Linked DNA regions of Arabidopsis thaliana. The protein of the gene in region 1 purifies or fractionates together with the protein of each later gene. This does not show direct contact. Each region holds a gene or a part of one and is shown in the gene's direction. Other genes may lie near its edges.

Region 1 (6,582 bases):
AATGCAAACTGAAGCAAAGAATCCAAAGATATAATCTTATGGTGAATTCTCGAGCACCCTAGACTCTTCCAATGCAAAACCAATACCCAAATCCCTAGACAACCCATTCCTCCTTTGGTCATCTTCCATTTATACTGATTCGTTTATCTTTTGCTGACTGAATATTAGAGAGATGACATGACTAATGCAACAGCTGCACTCTTCTAACTACTTATGCAGACTTATCACAGCAGAGCCATATTGGAGCAGCATACATAAGCGATTTACTTGTAACCAAAACAATAATTGCGAACAAAACCCTGAGTAAGTGCTCAGTCAGATAGTCTACACGTATTTGGGCAAAGAAAGAACTTACAGCGCTAGAGTCTTGACCAACAACGAGAACAACCATATCGGGTCCAAACCTTCTAACTGCAGGAACCACCAGCTCATTCATGGCATATTCATATCCCCGGTCACCCGTGCCATTCGGTAAAGGGACATTCAGATTGTAACCCAATCCCACGTCTTCACCAAGTTCATCAATCGACCCTTTCTGCGGGTGGGACGATCCCCATGATCCATGGTTCATATGGAGTGACACCGTAAGAACCTTATCAGATGTATAAAACCCTTCAGCTGTGCCATTTCCATAATGTACATCGATGTCAATAACCGCAACTCGGGAACAAGAACCCGAATTCAATGCCAGCTTGACAGCAAGAGCAGCGTTGTTGAGGAAGCAATACCCATCAGCCTGAGTAGGCTGTGAGTGGTGACCTGGTGGGCGTACCAGAGCATATGCAATTTTCCCATGGCAATCAAGAATATGTTGCATTGCTGAAAGAGTTGTTCCAGCTGCAAGAAGAGCAGCTTCCCACGAGCCTGGGCTCATGAAAGTACCTGCGGCAATTTCACACCTTTCTCCTGATTTATCTGCCTCCACTAGCTTCTCAATGTACTCTGTACAAGGATCACAATGGATTACATGAGAAAGCAATAATCACAAATCAAAGTCGAATTTTTTAAGGTTAAGATTTGTCAAAACTACCAAATTCAGAAACAGGTTTTTATAAAAGTTCCTTCTTTTCTGCGAACCTTAGAGCGATGTACCTGAAGTGTGAAACATTAGAAGCTCCGAAACGATTGCTGGAAGACCGGTAAACCAATTGACATGAGGAGCGATGGGACCGCGTCGGAGAATCGAAAGCATGTTCCTGACGCGATCGGCGTTCTCCGGGTGCTTCTCCAATACGTCGAGGAATCCAGGGTCGTATCCAGTGTCGAAGACGCCTTCTACGGCGTCGTGTCGGAGCATTCCTTCGTGCCAGAAGACGTCTACGCGATTGGTAACCATCGGAGAAGCCGGCGACGAAGATAGGCTTGAGCCGTCGTCGGAGGCCAACGGTGGTGTAATAATGGAGGATGCTCACGCGCAACACACGTGTTCTCTAACCATTGAGATAACAAGGGGTATAAATGTCTTTTCCAAATAAACTCAAGGATTAAGTTAATTTCGGAGAAGAGAAATTTCGTGCTTATTGGGCCTGGACTGAACATGCTGTTAATGACATGTTGTACTGTTTTAGATTGGAGCTTTTTGGATTTCGTTATCCCACATTTAATTATTGTAGAACCTTTATTTTTTGACTACAAAAAAAATATATTCTTCGCTCTCATAAAATAAAGAAAATATAATTGAATTTATTTATGATTCATATTCGTATAAAAAACATTTGGCTACAAGTATCATGTACAAAACATTCGGCTAGATTTAGTTAGAACAAGATTTGTTATAAATCATAATGGCAATATAAGAGATTAGAGCAAGAAACATAGCAATTATTATTTGAGACCAGTTTTGCCCCATTTCTTACGATGATAAACGACTTTGAATATTCTTCAGTCCACTCCACACTGCGACGACGACTTGAGAAAAACAACATAGAGAAAAAAAGAAAAATCCAAACCTTAGGGGCAATATTGTAACTAAACCAAACGACACTGAGTCAACATTCTGCTTTGCTATAAAGGCCCAAGCACAATTTTTCAGTAACCATGATGAAGTGAGAAATTCTGAAAAATGGGATTACCTCAAAATAAGCTCAGTTTTTTCTGCTTCTTCTTCCTCGTCTCTGTACTAACTCTTGCCCCATTGGCTTTCTCCGAGATCTTCTTAGAGGAGCATTTCGAAGGTGAAGTATATATATAAACACTCTTCTCTCTTTTTTTTCCTTTTCTGGGAAACAAAACAACGATTTGTTATTTTTGTTTCCTTTTTGAATATATTGCTATGATTAGTAAGTAGTAACTTTCCTTGGTAGATTTTGATTTGATTAGGATAGTGAATCCGAATCCATCCTTCACTAGAATCTTCTATTATAGGCTTTGCTTTTCCTATTCTGGTTAATATAACGATTCTATGGTTCTGGATTTTGGCTTTCTATTTATAGGTTTATGGAATTAACTTAGTAAGATTGTGTTCAGGTGGATGGAAAAGTAGGTGGGTCTTGTCTGATTGGAAAAGAAACGAAGGCAAAGCTGGAACCTTTAAGCACACTGCCGGTAAATGGCCCGGCGATCCTGACAATAAAGGTACTTCCTTTCGCCCACCTTTAAGCACACTGCAGAACTCCGTCTTTTTGGCGTTAAGGGTCTCACTTGATTTTCAGAATACGAGAATCTATATCACCATTCTCCCTGTGATCTTTGTTATGTTGCAGTGTTTTAGTTCTTTGATATGTTCTTGTTAGCTGCCACTTGTGTGTAGATCTTCAGCTCTTTTGTTATGTGGACTAAGACATGGAGTTCGCAAGTCTACTGCCTTTCGATATTTGAAGTTATCTTGAAGAAAATTAAATCTTTAATTGGTTATAATTAGGATTTCTATTTTAGTTCTTAGATATGTTTGTTTCAGCAGCAGGTTTGTGTGTAGATCTTGAGCTCTTTTGTTCTGTGATACAATTATGGATCGTCAAGTGTACTAGCTTTCGATCTCGAAAGTTAACTTGAGGAATATAGAATCTTTATTTGGTTTAACTTAGTATCTTTTTCTTTCTTTTTTGATTTTCTTGATGTGTTTAGGTATTCAGACTTATAATGATGCCAAGCATTATGCGATTTCTGCAAAGATTCCTGAGTTTAGCAACAAAAACCGGACTCTTGTTGTCCAGTACTCAGTCAAGATTGAACAAGACATTGAATGTGGTGGTGCTTACATTAAGCTCCTGTCTGGCTATGTTAACCAGAAGCAGTTTGGTGGTGATACTCCATACAGGTAATCATACATTAATGCTTTTTCAATGAACATCAGTTGATAGAATGTTATATTGCAATCTAAGTCAAGTTGCGTTGATTTAGTTAATCCAGTGAACTTTGATAAATGATTACATGTCCATGTTTTTTACAACAAAGTCGTCACATGGTGTTGTTGTGTTTGGGGATTCTCATTAGTTTTTCTATGCAGTCTAATGTTTGGACCAGATATATGCGGAACACAGACGAAGAAGCTTCATGTTATAGTTTCATATCAGGGACAGAATTATCCAATCAAAAAGGATTTGCAATGTGAAACAGACAAATTAAATCATTTCTACACATTTATTCTGCGTCCTGACGCTTCTTACAGCGTTCTGGTGGATAATAAAGAGAGAGAATTTGGCAGTATGTACACAGACTGGGACATCCTTCCTCCAAGGAAGATCAAGGTCAAGAATGCAAAGAAGGTAACTGTCTGGGTGCTTATAAGGTTTCATAGACTCTTTCTTAAATGCAATGTGAATTTCTGAACCAAACATTTGCAAGGTTGGATAACCTTTTTCTGAGATAGTTACACTTAGCTTTTAGCTATTATAATTTATGATGTATGACGAGGAAAATGGATTATGGTTTTGATCTGAGGTTATACTAAATTTTCATAGAAGAGCAAGATATGCAGTAAGCCAGTAACACTACATTTCTTTTAGCTTTCACCTTGATAGATTCTTAACAGTCTGTATTTTGCAGCCAGAGGACTGGGATGATAGAGAGTACATCGATGACCCCAACGATGTCAAACCCGAGGTAACTTTTTAGTAAACTTAGCAATATAGAAAATACAATTTGTATTGAAAGGAAGCTATTCAGTTCCCATTCTCTTAATTCTTAGTTTAATTCAGGCAACTGGCTCGTTCTTCCTTTTGTAACCAGGGTTTTGATTCTATTCCACGTGAAATTCCAGATCGTAAAGCTAAAGAGGTATGTACTGTTATATTAGATTCTTTAAATGATTGGTCGTTATTTTTTAGTCTCAGAGATCCATCATTCTTTCTTCATTCTATATCACTGCAAATTCTGACATTATGGCACTCATTCTTTTTTGGAACTCATTACTGTGTTATAGTCTGAAGCTTTGTGTCTTGTATCTCTCTCTCTACTTGTTTAGCCCGAGGACTGGGACGAGGAAGAAAATGGTCTCTGGGAACCTCCAAAGATCCCAAATTCTGCGTACAAAGGTCCTTGGAAAGCAAAGGTTATTATATGACAGTCATCAATGGTTATATAGATTACTGTTTTTTCTTCTTCTCCATTTGACATTTCTCAAAACATTATTTTCCTACAGAGAATCAAGAACCCGAACTACAAGGGAAAATGGAAGAACCCATGGATAGATAATCCAGGCATGTTTCTACCTATTTAATGTGTATGTTCATTTTGAGCTGGATTTCTTCTTGTTATAAATACTAAGCTTGAGCTTCTCGGTTTTGCACAGAATTTGAAGATGATCCAGATCTTTACGTTCTGAAGTCTATCAAATATGCAGGCATTGAAGTATGGCAGGTAAGTTCTAGAGCTTTCTTGAATTCCATCAAATATTAACTTTTATAATCACTACATCATCACCAGATATGGATGAATATTTATATAATATTCACTGCCAATTAGTTCTTTTAACATATATATGCTGCTTGTACATATAGGTCATCCAAATTTTTAGGGTTGAAAACAAAACCAAAAGAAACAGAAAAGATCTGATAAAAAGTCTTCATTTTAGACGAGGGATCAAACTTATCTAGTGCATCTGAATGAAAAAAAAATGATCTTAACACTGCAGGTGAAGGCTGGCTCAATCTTTGACAATATATTGATCTGCGATGACCCGGCATATGCAAGAAGCATCGTGGATGACTATTTTGCCCAACACAGGGAGGTAGATTTCCAAGTCTTTGTATATCTTTTTGCTTCTTTTTGGATAAAATCAAAGAAGTTTTTTGATCTTGCAAGTGTGTAGTAATTGCAAATGGATTTTCTGCATGCTATTATATACGAAAATGTCTTATTAGTGAATTTGATATGCTATATACTTGGCCATATGCACCAGTCTGAGAAGGAGTTATTTGCGGAAGCAGAGAAAGAAAGAAAAGCTAGAGAAGATGAGGTTTGTAGTTCACAAAAAAGTTCTTGTTCTCTTTTCAAGTCTTCTCTGTATATCCTAGTTAACGAGCATGGCCATACAAATCAACGTTTACAGGAAGCTCGGATAGCACGGGAAGAAGGTGAACGCAGGCGGAAAGAAAGGGACCACCGGTATGGAGACAGGAGGAGGCGTTACAAACGGGTAAGTACTTATTTGAGTCCAAATGAATTATAACCTTCTCAACTCTGTTTTATCTGGAAACCAAGTGAGTGAATATTGTTGGAAATGGTTTGTTTTGTTTTGTTTTGTTTTGTTTTGCAGCCGAATCCACGTGATTATATGGATGATTACCATGTAAGTGTTCCTTCTATCTCAACCACTTTAAAAAGAATGGTTTATGCAGTTTAGTACTGAATCATCTTAACTGTTCTAAAAATGTAAGTTTGTTATGATTCTGAATTTCGTGTAGGACGAGCTATGAGGCGCAGAGTGGTGGGCATTTGGCAAAGCATTGGGGGAAATTATCTATATTTTGCTTTGAATGTGTGTTTGTAATTTCATAATTTGTAACCTTTTGTATTCATATTCTTATAATGTATTTTGGCATGAAAACTTGACTTGTTATTTTTCCCTTCCAATACAAAAATTCTAAAATTGGCAAGAACGACAAACTACCATGCAGTGATTTGTGAAGTTTGATAGTGGTGGTAATTTTAATTGTTTCACCACAGAAAATTTCTCTATATCCTGAAGAAGATAGCTGAGTTGAACTGAGAGGTTGGCGTTTCTTAGTGAAAATACAAAAAATAGAAATCTTTAGCTAGAAAGTGTGGTGTGGACTGATGGTAACCATGTTCATTTGGAGGAACTAATGTGAATATTAGCTAAAAGCATATTGTTGAGTGTTGACAAAATGACAACAGATAAATCGTCAAATACTACTCCACCTAGCTAATATTTTTTTTTAACTAATGTTAGAAAGCCACCTATTTGCATCCGTAATGATAAAAACTAAAAAAATATAAGATTATAAGAGTGATACATTTTGTGTGAAAACGTAAACGAAAGTCAAAAGAAAGAAAAACGAAAGAATTTTAAATGCGTTTTATGTTGGGCACAAATGTTGTGACTTGTGTGTACCTTTTCCCACTTTAAATGTACGGCTGATAATCACATCAGTGGCGACTTTAGGAAATAGAAAATTCGCA
Region 2 (4,382 bases), on another chromosome or scaffold:
ACTGCAATTCGATTACGTTTATTAAAATTTCAAATCAGAATGTTGATTATAGGACAGATATAACAAATGCAAGATGGTTCAGCTTACATGGTCATTTCAAGGTTACAGAACCGGATTTCTCCATTTAATTTAAAGACTTATACATTTAATTATTAATATTTAGTAACTTTAATTTTATAGAGACAATATAGAAAATTATGCAATGGAGATGCTTTAAAAGTATTAGGTGCCAGAGTTAAAAAAAAAAAAAAAGTATTAGGTGCCTTGTCGTCACCAGATTCCATTGGATTTTACGACTTTTTGTTAAACTCACAAGTCGCTAGCTTGTGGTTTAAGCAATCTTTTTTTTTTTATATAAAATTTACATATATTAAAAATTTTATGTGGTTTTTTTTTACATAATAGTTAATGATGCATTAAATTTAAGCAATTTTAATGATGCATTGATTTTATTAATTCCCCTTGCTCAAAATACTTTCTATGGTGTGATTAACACAAATTATATTATTATTCTTTTAGAAATTTTTGCTTGTAAATGCTAGTTTTGATTGCATTATTATTCTTTTTTCTTTTACGTCATTTACGAGAATTTTCAATTTTGTTTTATCAAAAATTTCTAATTGAATATTTGATGTTGCACATAAACTGACCGTGATACATGTGCTTGTTCTGTATATAGATTTGTTGAAATAACACTAGAGTATGCTACCAATGTTACGGATCACGGTCTCCAAGCAATTGGTAAAGGATGCAAAGAATTAAAACATCTTGAAATACTAAACTGTCCTGTTAGTAAAACAGGTCTTATAGAAGCAGGCGAGAGCTCTTCTTCCATTAGATATCTTTACGCATCAGGTAATAAAGATGGAAAGGAAGGAGGAGTGCAATCTTTTGCACAAAATAATGATAATATATTTTCTTTTCATTTGTTGTTAAGATTCTCCGAGATCTTCTCGAGATCTTTTTTGGAAATACGATAAGATAGGCTGAATAATTCTTATTCTGAAATTTTTTGGTAATGCGAAACCTTTGTTTTATATGTTCAAGAAGAAAAGAAATATTAAGAATTTTTTTTTTGTTCAGTCACACAACTTTAGAACAAAATTATGTTAATAATTTTCTTCATTTTAAATCCAAAACTTCAAAAGTTAGAAAACATATGAAGTAAAATAAAATAAAATGTGCTAAGCTATAAATTGATTTTAGTTTACATAACAAATTCTAATTGAAACTTATTTTTTTATATCGTCAAAAAACAACAACTAAATTCTGAAAAAATATCAAAAACTCCAATTTGGAAAGTATAAATTACAAACTAACTTGTTTTATTTTATGTTTTAATATAATAGTTTAGTTGGTTTAATAATAGTAAGTGTTATTTTATTATTTTTTAAAAGGGAAGGGTTTAAAAACCCACCAAAAAATCCCTTAAATGGATGCTTAAAAATCTCTGGTCGCGGGCTTAGCCCCAGTAGACTAGTTAGATCACTGTGTGGTCTGGGCATTGAGTTATCAAAGAAAAAAAGGGAAGGGTTTAAAAACCCACCAAAAAAGTTGAGGGTTTTGTACATGTTTTTTGTAAAAGGTGAGGGTTTTTTTTACCCACTTTTCATAGAGCTGAGGAACTTGATAAGATATCAAACAACAAGAGTCTCCAACTCAAGCAGAGACTTCAATCTCTCACAACAACACTGCAGCTGTTTCAGGCCCAAAAGGAGACACGAAGCCCATCTCTCATTCATCGGAACTCTGCAATACTCAAAACAGAGAACCATCACGCGAGCCGCTTCAGCTACCATCGCTCGCCGCCAACTCTTGTTGTTGTTTGATATCACTTTCTCTTCTTCAAGCAGTTGCTACTACTTTCAGAAGAAAGCTGAGAAGAAGCTTAACAGACGGAGAAGATTCGACACTAAGTACGAGGATGCTGCTGATCTGCTCGAGAAAGCACGTGATTCCTATAAGCTTGCCAAATCATGTAATTTCCATAAATAATAATCAGCCGGCCTTGATTTTTGTTTCATCTGATTGATTTGTGATGATGATGAGGAAGAAAAGGTGAAACTTGAGACTTTTGATTGATCTTTGGTTTAGCAATTGTGGTGATCCTTCCATGGTGTTGTGAGAAGTTGATTTTAGGCCTCTTTGATATGTGGGAATTATAAATTGGATACTCAACATTTAGATTACTCGATAATGATGGTTTTTGGCCTTATAGTAAAGTCATTGATAAGTATCTTCTTGCTTATGTGTTTGATTTGTGATTCTTCAGGGGATCAAGCTGGAATAGCTTATCTAAAACTTGCCGATTGTCACTTAAAGGCAAATTCTTTGGCAAACACATATATGATAATGGACGAATGTATGGATCATGTAGCAACAGCTTTTTAGATTTTAATTGACATATATGTACTACAGGACTGATTATCAACTCTTGTGTGTTTTCCTTTCGCTATGCATGTTTATCGCGTCCAAATATAACCATGACCTTATTATATGCAGAGGCTGCATCTTGTCTAGAGAGAGCGGCGAATATATTTTGTGAGATAGATAGTAAGGCTCAACATGGCTGCAAGATATTACAATGTACTACATGTCTCTTTTGAGTATGAATTAGATACTGTTACTCTTTTAGTACGGATAGTGAGAAGATAGTTTTATTGAGGGGGAGGCACTTCTTCAGCATCTTCTCCATGGTTCGTGTTGTTTATGCATGTTGGATCCTGTCGGATTTGTTTCTTTTTTTCTACAGTATATATAGTAAGCTTGGTACTGACTTTCTGTATTTGTACTAATGTGTACATTGTCATTTACTTTTGACAGGAAATTGCTGAGTATTATGAATCTGATGAGATGTTCGAGCAAGCTATTGCTTACTATGAAACGGCAGCTGAATTCTTTCAAATAGAAGAAGTGACCACCTCTGCAAACCAGTGCAATCTAAAGGTTGCACAATATGCTTCCCAGCTAGAGCAGTAAGATTTTCGGCACCTGACCTTTTTTTGGCTTTCTCATCCTCTGGTATTGACGTACTTACAGTACTGAGATGGGACCATGTTAAAATCGAATTTTCAAACCACAAATTTGACATTGTTTGGAATAATGTTGTTGTTCTCTACACATGAGCACATGGATTATAGCCCCTTCTCTACTTTGGGGCGGATTGATTGATTGATAATAGGCTTGCTGTTGTATCTTTGATAGGTATGAGAAGGCAATCCAGATTTATGAAGACACAGGCACGCCATTCACTCAACAATAAGTTGCTTAAGTATGGAGTTAAAGGCCATCTTCTCACTGCTGGCATGTGCCACTTATGCAAAGCTGATGTTGTTTCCATCACTAATGCACTGGAGAAATATCAGGTTCTTCTTCTTCCACAGCAAACAGCCTTAACATCAGCATCCTGGCGTGGTCCTTTGAGTAACTATGACATGTGTTCTAACTTGTACTTTCTTGCAGGATCTGGATCCGACTTTTTCAGGAACACGGGAATGCAAGTTCTTAGCGGTAAAGTTTAAACTCTGGTGTTGTAAGAAATTGGGGAGTAGCTTACATAAAGTATGTTAAGTGTTGTACATTTATTCTCATGAACAGGACCTTGCTTCTGCTATCGATGAAGAAGACATTGCAAAGTTCACAGACGTTTCCAAGGAAATTGATAGCGTGAGTCCACTGGTATGGGCAGTAAACCACATGCAACTATTTGGATGTAAACTCTGTCTGGTTCTTGATCATGACAACAATGTTGTTGAGGGTAAAAGAGAAGTTCAAGGCCAGGGAGCTGGAGGAGGATGCAAGCTTTACTTGATTGAAGGAAAATGTATTCTTGATTGGAACAATGTATATACAAAAAGGATTTATAACTACACTAATTTCTAGAGAAAATCAAACTGCAATTCGATAACGTTTATTGAAATTTCAAATCAGAATGTGGATTATATGCCAGATATAAATGCAAGATGGTTCAGCTTACATGGCCATTGCAATAACCTTATTTCTAGAATACATAAGCTGTTTTCTCCTACGGCCATAAAGAGTCTATAGTTTTGAAGACAGGGCAGTCTTGTGGTCGAGAGCAATCATCACTTTTCCAATTGCCTTCCTGTCTTTGAGGTCCCCGAATGCAAGATTGGCCTGTAATCAAAACGGTAAGTGTTTAATTACATGTTTTGAGTTTTGATGTCATGAAGATGAGTTAATGTTTTCACCTGGGAGAGGCTATAGGTATGAGAGATGTGAATAGTGATCAATCCTCGGGAAAGCCATGACAATAACTCTTTGATGGAATCTTCAAGGACATTGGGCTGATGGATCCTGTAGCTACCCCAGTAAAGACCATGAACCGTCCAGTTCTGCACCAATTGGTTACTACAACTTAT
Region 3 (5,402 bases), on another chromosome or scaffold:
GCACATCTCCTGAGAGAGTAAACACATACAAATCCAAACTCAGCCAATCTGTTCTTAAGCTCAAATAGTAGCTGAGACCTCTACACTTAGATGATTAGATCAAATTACTTTACCTATAATAATCGAAAATATAATCATACAACCAAAAGTAGCAACCATCGTAGCAATCTGTACAGCGATGGATCCTGTTTTACCAAACGACTCTTTCATAACTCCGGCGTAAGTAGTTGATTCTCCGGCGAGAGTTGATTTCATCAGAAATCCAACGGAAATTGTGGAAAGCCAAGCTATGATCGTGATAATCAAAAACGCTGGAACTATTCCAAGAACTTTAAACGCCGCCGGCATCGACATTATTCCGGCTCCGATTATACTCGTTGACACGTTGAAAACGATGCCGGAGGTTGATGATCCATGGTTCTCAGACGAAGAAGGTTCTTGCTTCGGCAAGAGATGAGTTTTGATCTGTGGTGTCATTTTTCTAACCGCCGGAGAAACGTAAGAATTTGCCGGCGGGAAGAAGCTTTCCTTTTTTGTAGTTGTTATGAGGAATCGGCTTCATATAGCCACACGGTTAATAGCGAAAAGTACATAAATACCCTTTGAAGATTGGGGATATATGCCTTGACCGTTTGGGGCAAAATCGAGAAAATGATATTTGACCATAGGTAAACCTGACAGGCTGGGCAAATCATGTCAGTGAGATCACCAAATGATCTTTCGTCACGTACTTAAAAACATCACGAAAATAATAATTTTGTTCAAGAGAGGAAATTACAGCTAAAATATGATGAACAATCATAATCATATTATAGACAGAAGTGAATTATTAACAAAAAAACCCCAAAGAATTATACAAAAAAATCCAAAATAAAATGGGTCCGTCCAACACTAATGAATGTGTGCACTTGGATTTCTTCACGAAGAATGTATCTAGACGAAAAAGTGGCCAAATGTGTATCATCGCTTCTCATCTCATATAAGTTGTCCAAAAAAGAAAAAAACTCCTAAATAATTTAAAATTTTCGTGGATATAATAAAATCCAATATATAATCATATCATTGGCGGCCTCAAAGATGGCTCACGTGTAATAAACTAACTTTAGAGCAGACGGTTCGAGACTTTTCATCAAGAAAACGAGAGGGCAGCGAATGCGGAATGTCGAATGAATAATTGAAAACGTGATAAACGAAACAATATAAGAATAATTAAACACTGTCTTCTAAAGTTATTTTTATTTAATCATTTCATATGAATCATATTGAAGTTACTCAGTTAACATTATAGAATGTGACTGATAGCAACATTAATATTGCCGCAGAAATCCCTCGTTGCAAAGTTACAGTTTATTTTAGATCATCTCTGTGTGTAAAGGAGAAGCTTCAGTCAACAACAACAGAGCTTGGGTCAAACTCTCTGCTCAGCTCAGAGTCTCCCAAACAGAATGCTATGGGCCAAGACACTAAGCCCAATACCATTCAACATGTCGAGAAGCCCAACAACAGAAGATTACCTCTGCAACTCACAAAAGACAAAAAAATTACCGATTACCCATGAAATGATTTGCTAAAAAATTGAACATTTCATAGATTTGTAACGGTTGTTATTTAGCCATTGTTGTTATTCATGTGTTTGATATTAAAACCGATATTGTTGTTACTCATGTGTTTGATATTAAAACATACTAGGTTTTTACCAGTTTGTGCATTTTGGAACATAGGTTTGTTTAGTGGAAACTGTCAGCAATATTTGTCGTGATTTGAGAACTATAATAATGGCTAATGAAGAATGTAGAAGGACGAGCAGATATAACAGGAAATCGTTTTACTTGATAATTCATGTAAGCTTTTCTTCAATCCCAACTGATAAACCTGATCCCATATTTTCTAAGCTTGGTTAAAGCGACCCAATAACAAAGTACGGAAAAACTTTTGATTGGGCTAACTTGGGCTTTTCAAAACAAAGCCCATATTTTAAATAGACAAATTTGGCCCACTTTAGTCGGTTGAAAAATCTTTTCCCCTATCGAAGCGTGTCTCTGATTTTTCGCTCTCGATCGATTCTCGTCTCTCTCTCTTTCATCGCAGCGAATAATCCAAATCGAAAGCAATTTCTCTCGACGAAGAAAAGAGAAGCAATCGGAGTCTGTGGAGGTAAAGAAGTACACGATCAAATTTCAAGTCAGAGTTTCGGGGAAAAAAAAGGAATGGGGGATCATCTGGTGAGAGCTGAGGAATTCGAGAAGAAAGCTGAGAAAAAGCTCAATGGATGGGGAATATTCGGATCTAAGTACGAGGATGCTGCTGATCTGCTCGAAAAAGCAGCTAATTCCTATAAGCTCGCCAAATCATGTAATTTCCATAAATAAAATTTCTTTGCTTTTGATTATTGTTTCATCGGATTGGTGTCGTGTTTTTTTTTATTGTTGTTCTTTGTGATGATGAGGAAGAAAAAAAAGGTGAAATTTGAAACGTTTGATCTTAGGTTTATCAGTTGCGGTGATTTGTCTATGGTCATGTGAGAAGTAGAATTAGTATCTGGGTTTATATTAGGTCTATTTTGATCTGTAAGAAATTTATGGTTGATAATTTCATACGAAAACATTTTAAATCGGAGATTCATCATTCTGATTCCTTGATATTGGTTTCTGGCCTTCTAGCAAGTCATTGATAAGTGGCACAATTATAGTACCTAATTTGGGTTCTATTTGGCTGAGTTTAATAGGTTTCATGTTCTTTTCTGATATTTGTTTAATTCTCCAACGCTATCTTCTTACTTATGTGTTGCATTTGTGATTGTTCAGGGGATCAAGCTGGAAAAGCTTATCTAAAACTTGCCGACTGTCACTTAAAGGTTAATTCTTTGGCAACACATATATATGATACTGGACTAATGTGTGGATTGTTTGATAACATTGATTTGCATGATTGCATCTGCAGTCAGATAGCAAACATGATGCTGCTAACGCCTATGCTGAGGCTGCTAAATGCTACAAGAAAGTTGACACTAATGGTATGTATAAAGCTACTTTTGTAATTGTCATCTCTGTAATGCAAGAGTGATTATGAATTCTTATGTGTTTTCATGCGTCCTAATATTATATGCAGAGGCTGCGTCTTGCCTAGAGCGAGCGGTGAATATATTTTGTGAGATAGGAAGGCTCAACATGGCTGCAAGATATTACAAGGTACCACTTGTCTCTTTTGAGCATGAATTAGATATTATTCTTTTAGTACGGATACTGAGAAGATAGTTTTATTGGGGCACTTCTTCTGTATTTCCTCCATGGTTCCTGTTTCTTTATGCATGTTCAGTCGGATTCAGATTGTCTTTTTCCTTTTCTAAACTAAAGTAAGCATGGTGCTGACTTGCTGTATTTGGACTAATTTGTACATTAATGGTTTTTTACTTTTGACAGGAAATTGCTGAGTATTATGAATCTGATCAGAAGTTCGAGCAGGCTATTGCTTACTTTGAAAAGGCAGCTGAATTCTTTCAGAATGAAGAAGTGACCACTTCTGCAAACCAGTGCAATCTAAAGGTTGCGCAATATGCCGCCCAGCTGGAGCAGTAAGATTTTCGGCACATTACCTTTCTTTTTGCTTTCTCATCCCTTAGCATTGAAGTGCTTATAGTACTCAGATGGAACCCTGTTAAAATCGAATTGTCAATCCACAAACTTGTCATTGTATGGAATTGTGATGTTCTCTATGCAGTATGCATGAGCACAGCAATTATAGCCTTTTCTCTACTTTGGGACCGATTGATTGATAATAGGCTTGTTGTTGTATCTTTGGTAGGTATGAGAAGGCAATCAAGATTTATGAAGACATAGCACGCCATTCACTCAACAATAACTTGCTCAAGTATGGAGTTAAGGGCCATCTTCTCACTGCTGGCATGTGCCACTTATGCAAAGCCGATGTTGTTTCCATCACTAACGCTCTGGAGAAGTATCAGGTTCTTCTTCTTCCACAACAAACACCCGTAACATAAACATTCTGGTGTGGTCCTTTGAGCAACTATGACATGTTTTCTAACTTCTACTTTCTTGCAGGATCTGGATCCAACTTTTACTGGAACACGGGAATGCAAGTTCTTAGCGGTAAAGTTTAAACTTCCGTTTTTTCAAGAAGTTGTGGAGCAGCTTACATAAAGTATGTTAAGTTTTGTACATTTATTCATATGAACAGGACCTTGCTTCTGCTATCGATGAAGAAGACATCGCAAAGTTCACAGATGTTGTCAAGGAGTTTGATAGCATGACTCCACTGGTATGGGCTGTAAACCATATACAGCTATTTGAATAAAATCTCTCTTTAACTCTACCTGGTTCTTGATCATGGAATTGGTGTTAATGCAGGATTCATGGAAGACAACCATGTTGTTGAGGGTGAAGGAGAAGCTCAAGGCCAAGGAGCTAGAGGAGGATGACCTTACATAGACATATTTATCCAGAGCGTTGCTTTTTATTCATTCCCGGGTTGTATTGTCACTATGTCCGTTACTTCATGTCCGACTCTTCTTTGATTTTATTGTGTCTGGTTTTGAGTTTTAAAGTTTCTTAAGAGGTTTGGTCAAATTGGGTTTGTTTGGTATCGACGTCTACAATTGTTCTCTGCGTCTCGTCACTTCATTTATGGGAACTACTCAAGTCTGGAGTTTTTTTTATATTGGTTAAACATCTGTGGAGAGTCTTCTTCGTTCAGCGATTATTTGATGCATCGAGAGGATCATGTCTCGATTATTTGTTTGCTTTTACGTCTACATCTATCTAATAAACGTGTGCTTTTTCTTCCTGTTAACGACAATTTGTAGTGTTTTGATTCATGTTTTCTTGCTCTATATATCTTTGATTGCACGCTTTTATGAAAAATAAACATTTGGGCCAGCAAGATTGCACATTACATGGAAAAAATATTCTTACATACATATATCTTGAGAAATGAACACATATACACCAATAAATTGTGAAAGGAACCACTAAACAAAGAGATTGAGGACAGACAATATACTAACACCAATTCTCGTTGTCATCGACCATGACAAGCAAAGCAATGATAAAAGCATAATCAACCTCTGGATTTACTCTCACCTTAAAGTTATATTTCCCTTTGCAGAAACTTCCCCATGTAAACTTATGTGTTACCTGCAATATAAGGATTTCAATCCTTCACCAATGTATAAAAATTGCAAATTTCTTAATAAGTATGGGTTTTTAACTTTTACCCCTACCCCGGCGATGAGAGCATCCGCTTTGAAAACTTTGAATGAGATATTGGAGTATCCTCCTGAAGCATGAAAATCACAAGTGTTTGTCTTCTTGACATTGTTGTTCTCCGGCAAGAAAACATCCACGGATGTTTTCAGTGAAACCGCTTGAGATTGTTGTACCGTGAAG
Region 4 (6,634 bases), on another chromosome or scaffold:
GTTAACGAGGAGGAAGATAGGAGAAGATGGAGCTAAATTTCTCTTTTATGTTTTAATGAAACTTGAAAGGCTCTGTTTCAAAACATGCTCCTCGGTTTTCTTTAGACTATTAGCGGGACGTCGTTTCGCTGATTGTGTCACTATTTTTGTTTTTCGATTATTTTTGGAAGACATTTTATTCTAATATTTTATGTTGTTCTGTTGTTACATACTATGGACGAAGAGCAACACACGACTCTGTGATGAAACCAGTGCTGCAACTGTAATAGGGAAATTACGTAATGCCAATGCAATTATAGAGTTCTCAATGGATGGTTGGAATGGAACAATGGTGATGATCTGTGTTGTTGAATGTGATAAATGACTTAATGATGGATTTGGTTTTGTAGTCAAAATTATTGAATTGAAGACGTTCAAAAGTTATCGGAAAATATGACTACCGAATAATTACCACAAAAGGAATAGCGAATTCAATAAAGTAGACATAAAATGCACAACTTCAACATAAACGATTATATGAAAACTATAATTGTATAATCTTATAACTCTATTATCTATAATCATTGTGAGTATATCAAATGTTGTTTAAACTCACTCTTGAACTATTTGATAACTTAAACATGTAATAATTATCTACGCAAAAAAAAGACATAGTAATTGAAAAAAAAGAGAGTAAATGTTTACATGTTTATGATCTTCGTAGAGAATCTTAGCTAGTTTCTTTTAAAACACGTTAGTCATATAATAATGCAAACAAAAAAATTTATAAATTTTTTGTTTGTAAACATTTCATATTGATCACACTGTAACATAAATGCCTCGTGACTTCTTAATGTATATAGGTATAATAGGAGAGTACATGTAGATGTAGATATACACTTCTATGACGTATATAAACAGAAACTGAATCTTTTTATTACGCAATCAAAGCCGTAACATTCTGTTTTGTTATATGACAGGTATAATTTACTTTGCACATACATCACAATTCACACATTATATTATATAAAAATATTTATGTAGATCGGTCGTTGCTAATTTCAAGGGGGAGGAACATGAAAGATTGAGAGAGAGAGAAGTAAAACAGTGTTTGGTCAAATCTCTCTTAAGAAATAATCTTATGAAATGAACCGTCACTTTCTTTGCTCTGCTCTGCTTTTTATTTGGATCCTTCTATTCCAATTCATTGACCAATCACTTCATTATCTCTAATTCTCTAACATTTTTTTTATATTATCCTTTTGATTTATATATCAAATTATTTCAATCATGATACAAAAACGATATTGGAGACATAGCACAAGTTGCGTCTGTCTGTACGTATTTTCTATTTATCTAGTATAGTCTAACAAAAAGAGAAATTGCCCATAAAAAGGGAAACTCAATTTCTAACAAACCTTTCTATTTTTATAAAGAGAATTTGCTACTATTATTACTGATATAAAAAGAAATAAAATTTCTTGCTTTCTATCATATTTGATATTTTTTGATGTCTTCGTCTTAAGGAAATGGTTACAAAGACAAGTATAATCATATAATTCAAATAGAAAACGATATTAAAGACAGATCACAAATTGCGTGTGTAGATATTTCACCAAGTGTTAACAAAAAGAGAAATTCATATAAAAAAAAATATTTATAAAACTGCAACTATTAATTTATTCAAACTAATTAAAAAGAAAGAGAAAAATCTTCCTATAAAAAGAAATGAATCTTTCTTTGTAATCAGAAAGAAATAAAATTCTTTTTACTTTTCCAGAATTTGATTTTTCTCATGTGTCTTATCTTATGAATATGGTTACCACCCAGTGAGACTACAGAGTGTTCTTATCTGTCTCTGAATCCCATTCTCTCTCTCACACAACATTATATAAGCTTACACAGTCACTTCACAATTTCCACAAATTCGATATATTAAACTATAATAAACTAAAAAGAAATGGGTTCTCATAGTGTTGAGTTCTCTGTTCTTGTCCTATTTCTTGTGTCCTTTCTTCTTGGCTCAACATCAGCAGAAAAGCTGTGCAGTGACAACGACGGCGACAACGGTTGTTTCCGGTCTAGGGTTTTGGCAGCGCAACGAGCTGATCGAGTGAAAGAGCTTCCGGGACAGCCGCCAGTGAAATTCCGGCAATACGCCGGTTATGTGACGGTTAATGAAACACATGGAAGAGCATTGTTCTATTGGTTCTTTGAAGCCACTCAGAATCCAAGCAAAAAACCTGTCCTCCTTTGGCTCAATGGAGGTAAGTTAAACTAACTCACATCCACTCATTTTTCTTCTATTACGTCTCATAGTTAAAAGATTAAAACCCACCAATAAAATAAGGTGTATCATGCTTTGTGTGCATTTCATCTACTTGATATTGATTTCGTAATAGATATTTGATCCTTGCGCAATCTTTATATTCGAATTTTGAAACTTTCATGAGTTGGGTTAGAAAAACAATTCCATTTAACAACATTACACGTAAAATAACAAAAAATTAACGTACGTATACTATATAAATAATATAATACAGCTGAAATAATTTTTAACGTGGATTAAAATAAACCATAAATAAATAGGTATGTATGTATCAGTCATTTGTATGCATGGAGACAAAAAAAGGTAACTTGGGGAGAATATTAGGTGAAGCTTCCTAATAGTAAGACGTATCTCATTTGGCACCATGTCAAAATCAATGAAACGTATGTGGTTAGTAGTTATCATCATCACCATCATGATGAGTTTTGGTTGTGATTGGTTAAACTTTAAAGTAATTTTGGAAGCTTGTAATGATTCCACATGCTTGTTAGTTGTTACATGATCCTATATATGCTAGCTTTTATTCTCTTGTAGACTCATTTGCTATATATTTAAATTTACAATCCACATATCTCAACGTTCCATCATGCTTTGCTTTTAGATGGTTTTTTCTTTTAGATGTTTATGGTTTCTTACACATTGTTAATAGAAAAATACTTTATTTTTAAGTCATTTTATTCATAAAGAGCTAAACAACGTAAAAATCCAAATTTTGATGAAAATAGTCATAAAACAATAAAATCTTTGATAGATTATTGTAAGTCTTTTTGTTCAGCATAACACGCTTGGAAAATATTTTGGTGAAAGATTAAAGATAATTAGTTTGGTGGAAGATTAACCATATGCTTATATTTTATTACATATTAATTGAATTCATATGCATGTGATGGATATTAAAATTATTACCTCCACATATTTAGGCTTTAATAGGCTCCCGTGGGCTCATTGCGCCCTTTACTTTAATATGAAGGCACAGTAATTATTGACACAAAAGTTATGCATCTATCTATTATCATCATATCAAGAAAAGTCAATTCCATGAAACTTAAACGGTCCTTCGGTCCATAATTCATTATGATTCCAAACATTACACATGGTCCATGCACGTATATGCACGCCCTAAAAGTTTTCTCAAGTTTGTTTTTATTCGTGTGTTTCTTGATAAAGGCAAGTTTATCATTATAAGCAACAAAACCCTTAAATTAAATGGACCCTATGCAATAATAGTGAATAAAAAGTAACATAATGTAGAGTCAAATTAAAGGAGTAGGCCTATATCACCTAAGTTTAAATTTGGTGGTACTTCCAAATAATGTACATAGTAAAATGTATTTAGTTATAGTATATTGAGATTTCAATGGTGAAAAATGTGAATATAGGACCGGGATGTTCATCAATCGGATTCGGAGCTGCAGAAGAACTGGGACCATTCTTCCCACAAAACTCGAGTCAGCCTAAACTCAAGCTAAATCCATACAGCTGGAACAAAGGTATGGGTATACATAACTTTCTAAATATTCAAATATTATCTCTCTTTCTATCAATAATGTAACTGAATTAATGTTTTTGAAATGTGATTTACATAGCGGCGAATTTGTTATTCTTGGAATCGCCGGTTGGAGTTGGATTCTCCTATACTAACACAAGCCGTGATATAAAACAACTCGGCGACACTGTCACAGGTTCGGTTTGTTATATATAACATTAGTTTTATTAATGAAATATTAGTTTTGTTTGTAAGTTAATAATTAAAGTTTGTGTATGATGAACAGCGAGAGACTCGTACAACTTCCTTGTCAACTGGTTCAAGAGATTTCCCCAGTACAAGTCACACGACTTCTACATTGCCGGAGAAAGCTACGCCGGTAAATTATTATTATTATAAGTTAGAAATACACGACGTCGTTTCTACATGTGATTATTACAAAACCAAAAAACAAAACATTGAATATGTATGATTTGCGTGGAATTATTAGGCCATTACGTCCCACAACTTTCGGAGCTCATCTACAAAGAAAACAAGATTGCGTCCAAGAAAGATTTCATTAATCTCAAGGGTTTAATGGTCAGAGATTTTCTTAAATCAATCCAATAATTATTAGTTTCACTTGCACTATATCTAGTGTTTTGATGAAGACTTTGAATTGTATATATATACAGATAGGAAACGCGTTATTGGATGACGAAACGGATCAAAAGGGGATGATAGAATATGCATGGGATCACGCGGTGATATCAGATGCATTGTACGAGAAAGTGAACAAAAACTGCGATTTCAAACAAAAACTTGTGACCAAGGAATGCAACGACGCTTTAGATGAGTATTTTGATGTATACAAGATCCTTGACATGTACAGTCTGTACGCTCCAAAGTGTGTCCCCACCTCCACGAACTCCTCTACTTCTCATTCAGTCGCCGGAAACCGCCCCCTACCCGCATTCCGAAGCATTCTACGACCCCGTCTCATCTCTCACAATGTAAGTAATTCGTCTTTTTAATCACTTAGAAAAAATTCTTTCGTAACCAATTTGACTAACCGGTTATAATTGATTATATACAGGAAGGATGGAGGAGGATGGCCGCCGGGTACGATCCATGTGCATCAGAGTATACAGAAAAATATATGAACAGAAAAGATGTTCAGGAGGCACTTCACGCTAATGTCACCAACATCTCTTACCCTTGGACTCATTGCAGGTATTATTACGACGTTCAATCTTATTTTCGGTTAGGTTTTCCAGATTTTGTTTTTCATGAAATATAAAAAGCACATATAGTTTGGTTTGGTCTTTTTTAGCAATATATGTTAACGTTTTAGGATTCTAAGGTATATATTGAGGAAGCAGTTTTTTTTTTCCGGTTGTTTGGTTATGGTTTGTTCGAATATAGGCAAAGGAAATTGAATCAGTTTATGAATTGTCACATGCACCTACATATTAATACTCTTACTATCATAGTTTAACCAAAAGCGTGTGTGGTAAATGATTGATAGATAGGAACTTAAACCATATGCATGGTTTACTATGTGCAGTGACACTGTCTCATTCTGGTCTGACGCTCCCGCTTCTATGCTTCCAACCTTAAGAACACTTGTTTCAGCGGGATTACGCGTATGGGTTTTCAGGTATAACACCTAATCCTTGGCATTTTTATGTAAGAATTAACTGAAAACGAGCGATAACCGTTTTAAATTGTTTGGTAAACTTAATAGTGGGGATACAGACGGGCGAATCCCCGTGACCGCAACCAGATACTCACTAAAGAAGCTAGGTCTTAAGATAGTCCAAGACTGGACACCTTGGTACACCAAACTACAGGTTAATTTGGTTCCAAGTTACAAACTTTAACTTTTCTTCCAAGTAAGTGTGTGATTGACTCTAAAGATATATATATATATATATATATTTTTCTTTCACTTGCCGTTAGGTCGGAGGGTGGACGGTGGAGTATGACGGTTTAATGTTTGTGACGGTAAGAGGAGCGGGACACCAGGTTCCGACATTTAAACCTAGAGAAGCTCTTCAGCTCATTCATCATTTTCTAGGCAATAAGAAACTTCCTACTTTTCCCTTTTGATATTTTCTCTACCCACAGATTTTATGATCTTTATATAATTCTTAAAACAATAATAAACAGATTTGAGCAAAATAGGCCATTATATTAGAATTGTACAAATGTTTTATCGCGTTTTACATGTTTTCTCGTGTTACAGTGACCTCTAAAACTCTCATCTCTTGGATAATTCTTTAACAATATATAGTCATCCAATGATCCAAACAACACAAATTTTAGCTAGGCTTACTTCTATATAAGTTGGAAGAAAATTTTAGATGTCAATAATATGATAATTATGAAAGAGATGATGATGAAATTTAGAAAATATTGTAAATTCAGTGTTACACATATTTCATATTCAACGTCAAATACATTCGCCAAATAAATGTACATGGCTCTTATATGATTCTCTCTTCTCTTTGAGTTTTCTTCATTGTTATGGGTATGACAACAAATATCATTATATTTATTTCGTTTTAAGACAAGATTATGAAAGAAAAAAAAAATTGTTAATCAATAGAATTCAGATGTATCTTTTTTTGATATAACTTTTTTAATAAGTCAATAGTAAACTAAATTTGAATAGAATCACGATAAAATACAACAACATTGAAACGAATCTCTGCCAGGTACACATATAGCATTGTTAAACGGTGGTTTGTTCACTCCACATGAGTCATAGCAATCTTCTTTCTTATGACACGGTCCTTTGAATTCACAATCTGAGGAAGCATCCATAATTCCTGTTGAATTCATCACAATTTAAAAAT

What was found.
Region 2: the proteins of CRT3 (region 1) and ALPHA-SNAP1 fractionate together in Arabidopsis thaliana (co-fractionation; one large-scale study listed by BioGRID). This does not show direct contact.
Region 3: the proteins of CRT3 (region 1) and ALPHA-SNAP2 fractionate together in Arabidopsis thaliana (co-fractionation; one large-scale study listed by BioGRID). This does not show direct contact.
Region 4: the proteins of CRT3 (region 1) and SCPL34 fractionate together in Arabidopsis thaliana (co-fractionation; one large-scale study listed by BioGRID). This does not show direct contact.

Annotation. Positions count from the first base shown.
Region 1 is NC_003070.9:2,667,281-2,673,862, reverse strand, and holds CRT3 (calreticulin 3), read left to right. Parts: upstream 1-1,905; 5' UTR 1,906-2,062; coding exon 2,063-2,174; intron 2,175-2,466; coding exon 2,467-2,574; intron 2,575-3,063; coding exon 3,064-3,256; intron 3,257-3,445; coding exon 3,446-3,704; intron 3,705-3,984; coding exon 3,985-4,041; intron 4,042-4,167; coding exon 4,168-4,215; intron 4,216-4,402; coding exon 4,403-4,489; intron 4,490-4,579; coding exon 4,580-4,637; intron 4,638-4,729; coding exon 4,730-4,797; intron 4,798-5,071; coding exon 5,072-5,167; intron 5,168-5,338; coding exon 5,339-5,395; intron 5,396-5,488; coding exon 5,489-5,575; intron 5,576-5,695; coding exon 5,696-5,728; intron 5,729-5,843; coding exon 5,844-5,855; 3' UTR 5,856-6,038; downstream 6,039-6,582. Other genes in the region: HDA08 (histone deacetylase 8), read right to left, coding at 356-942, 1,093-1,336. UniProt on the Arabidopsis thaliana protein: Molecular calcium-binding chaperone promoting folding, oligomeric assembly and quality control in the ER via the calreticulin/calnexin cycle.
Region 2 is NC_003074.8:20,928,988-20,933,369, forward strand, and holds ALPHA-SNAP1 (alpha-soluble NSF attachment protein 1), read left to right. Parts: upstream 1-1,569; coding exon 1,570-1,978; intron 1,979-2,272; coding exon 2,273-2,373; intron 2,374-2,823; coding exon 2,824-2,975; intron 2,976-2,996; exon of another isoform or gene 2,997-3,214; coding exon 3,215-3,365; intron 3,366-3,462; coding exon 3,463-3,510; intron 3,511-3,597; coding exon 3,598-3,882; downstream 3,883-4,382. Other genes in the region: AT3G56460 (GroES-like zinc-binding alcohol dehydrogenase family protein), read right to left, coding at 4,042-4,137, 4,212-4,355.
Region 3 is NC_003074.8:20,845,162-20,850,563, reverse strand, and holds ALPHA-SNAP2 (alpha-soluble NSF attachment protein 2), read left to right. Parts: upstream 1-1,868; 5' UTR 1,869-2,207; coding exon 2,208-2,352; intron 2,353-2,804; coding exon 2,805-2,854; intron 2,855-2,940; coding exon 2,941-3,013; intron 3,014-3,108; coding exon 3,109-3,188; intron 3,189-3,419; coding exon 3,420-3,571; intron 3,572-3,801; coding exon 3,802-3,961; intron 3,962-4,058; coding exon 4,059-4,106; intron 4,107-4,194; coding exon 4,195-4,275; intron 4,276-4,364; coding exon 4,365-4,445; 3' UTR 4,446-4,890; downstream 4,891-5,402. Other genes in the region: AT3G56200 (Transmembrane amino acid transporter family protein), read right to left, coding at 1-9, 114-477; AT3G56180 (LURP-one-like protein (DUF567)), read right to left, coding at 5,016-5,150, 5,237-5,402.
Region 4 is NC_003076.8:7,808,953-7,815,586, forward strand, and holds SCPL34 (serine carboxypeptidase-like 34), read left to right. Parts: upstream 1-1,692; 5' UTR 1,693-1,939; coding exon 1,940-2,246; intron 2,247-2,657; exon of another isoform or gene 2,658-2,672; coding exon of another isoform or gene 2,673-2,691; intron 2,692-3,040; exon of another isoform or gene 3,041-3,665; coding exon of another isoform or gene 3,666-3,687; coding exon 3,688-3,798; intron 3,799-3,894; coding exon 3,895-3,990; intron 3,991-4,080; coding exon 4,081-4,173; intron 4,174-4,284; coding exon 4,285-4,373; intron 4,374-4,468; coding exon 4,469-4,786; intron 4,787-4,869; coding exon 4,870-5,006; intron 5,007-5,340; coding exon 5,341-5,433; intron 5,434-5,520; coding exon 5,521-5,626; coding exon of another isoform or gene 5,627-5,656; exon of another isoform or gene 5,657-5,735; coding exon 5,736-5,885; 3' UTR 5,886-6,134; downstream 6,135-6,634. Other genes in the region: AT5G23200 (C5orf35), read left to right, coding at 1-36; AT5G23212 (Defensin-like (DEFL) family protein), read right to left, coding at 6,453-6,607. UniProt on the Arabidopsis thaliana protein: Probable carboxypeptidase.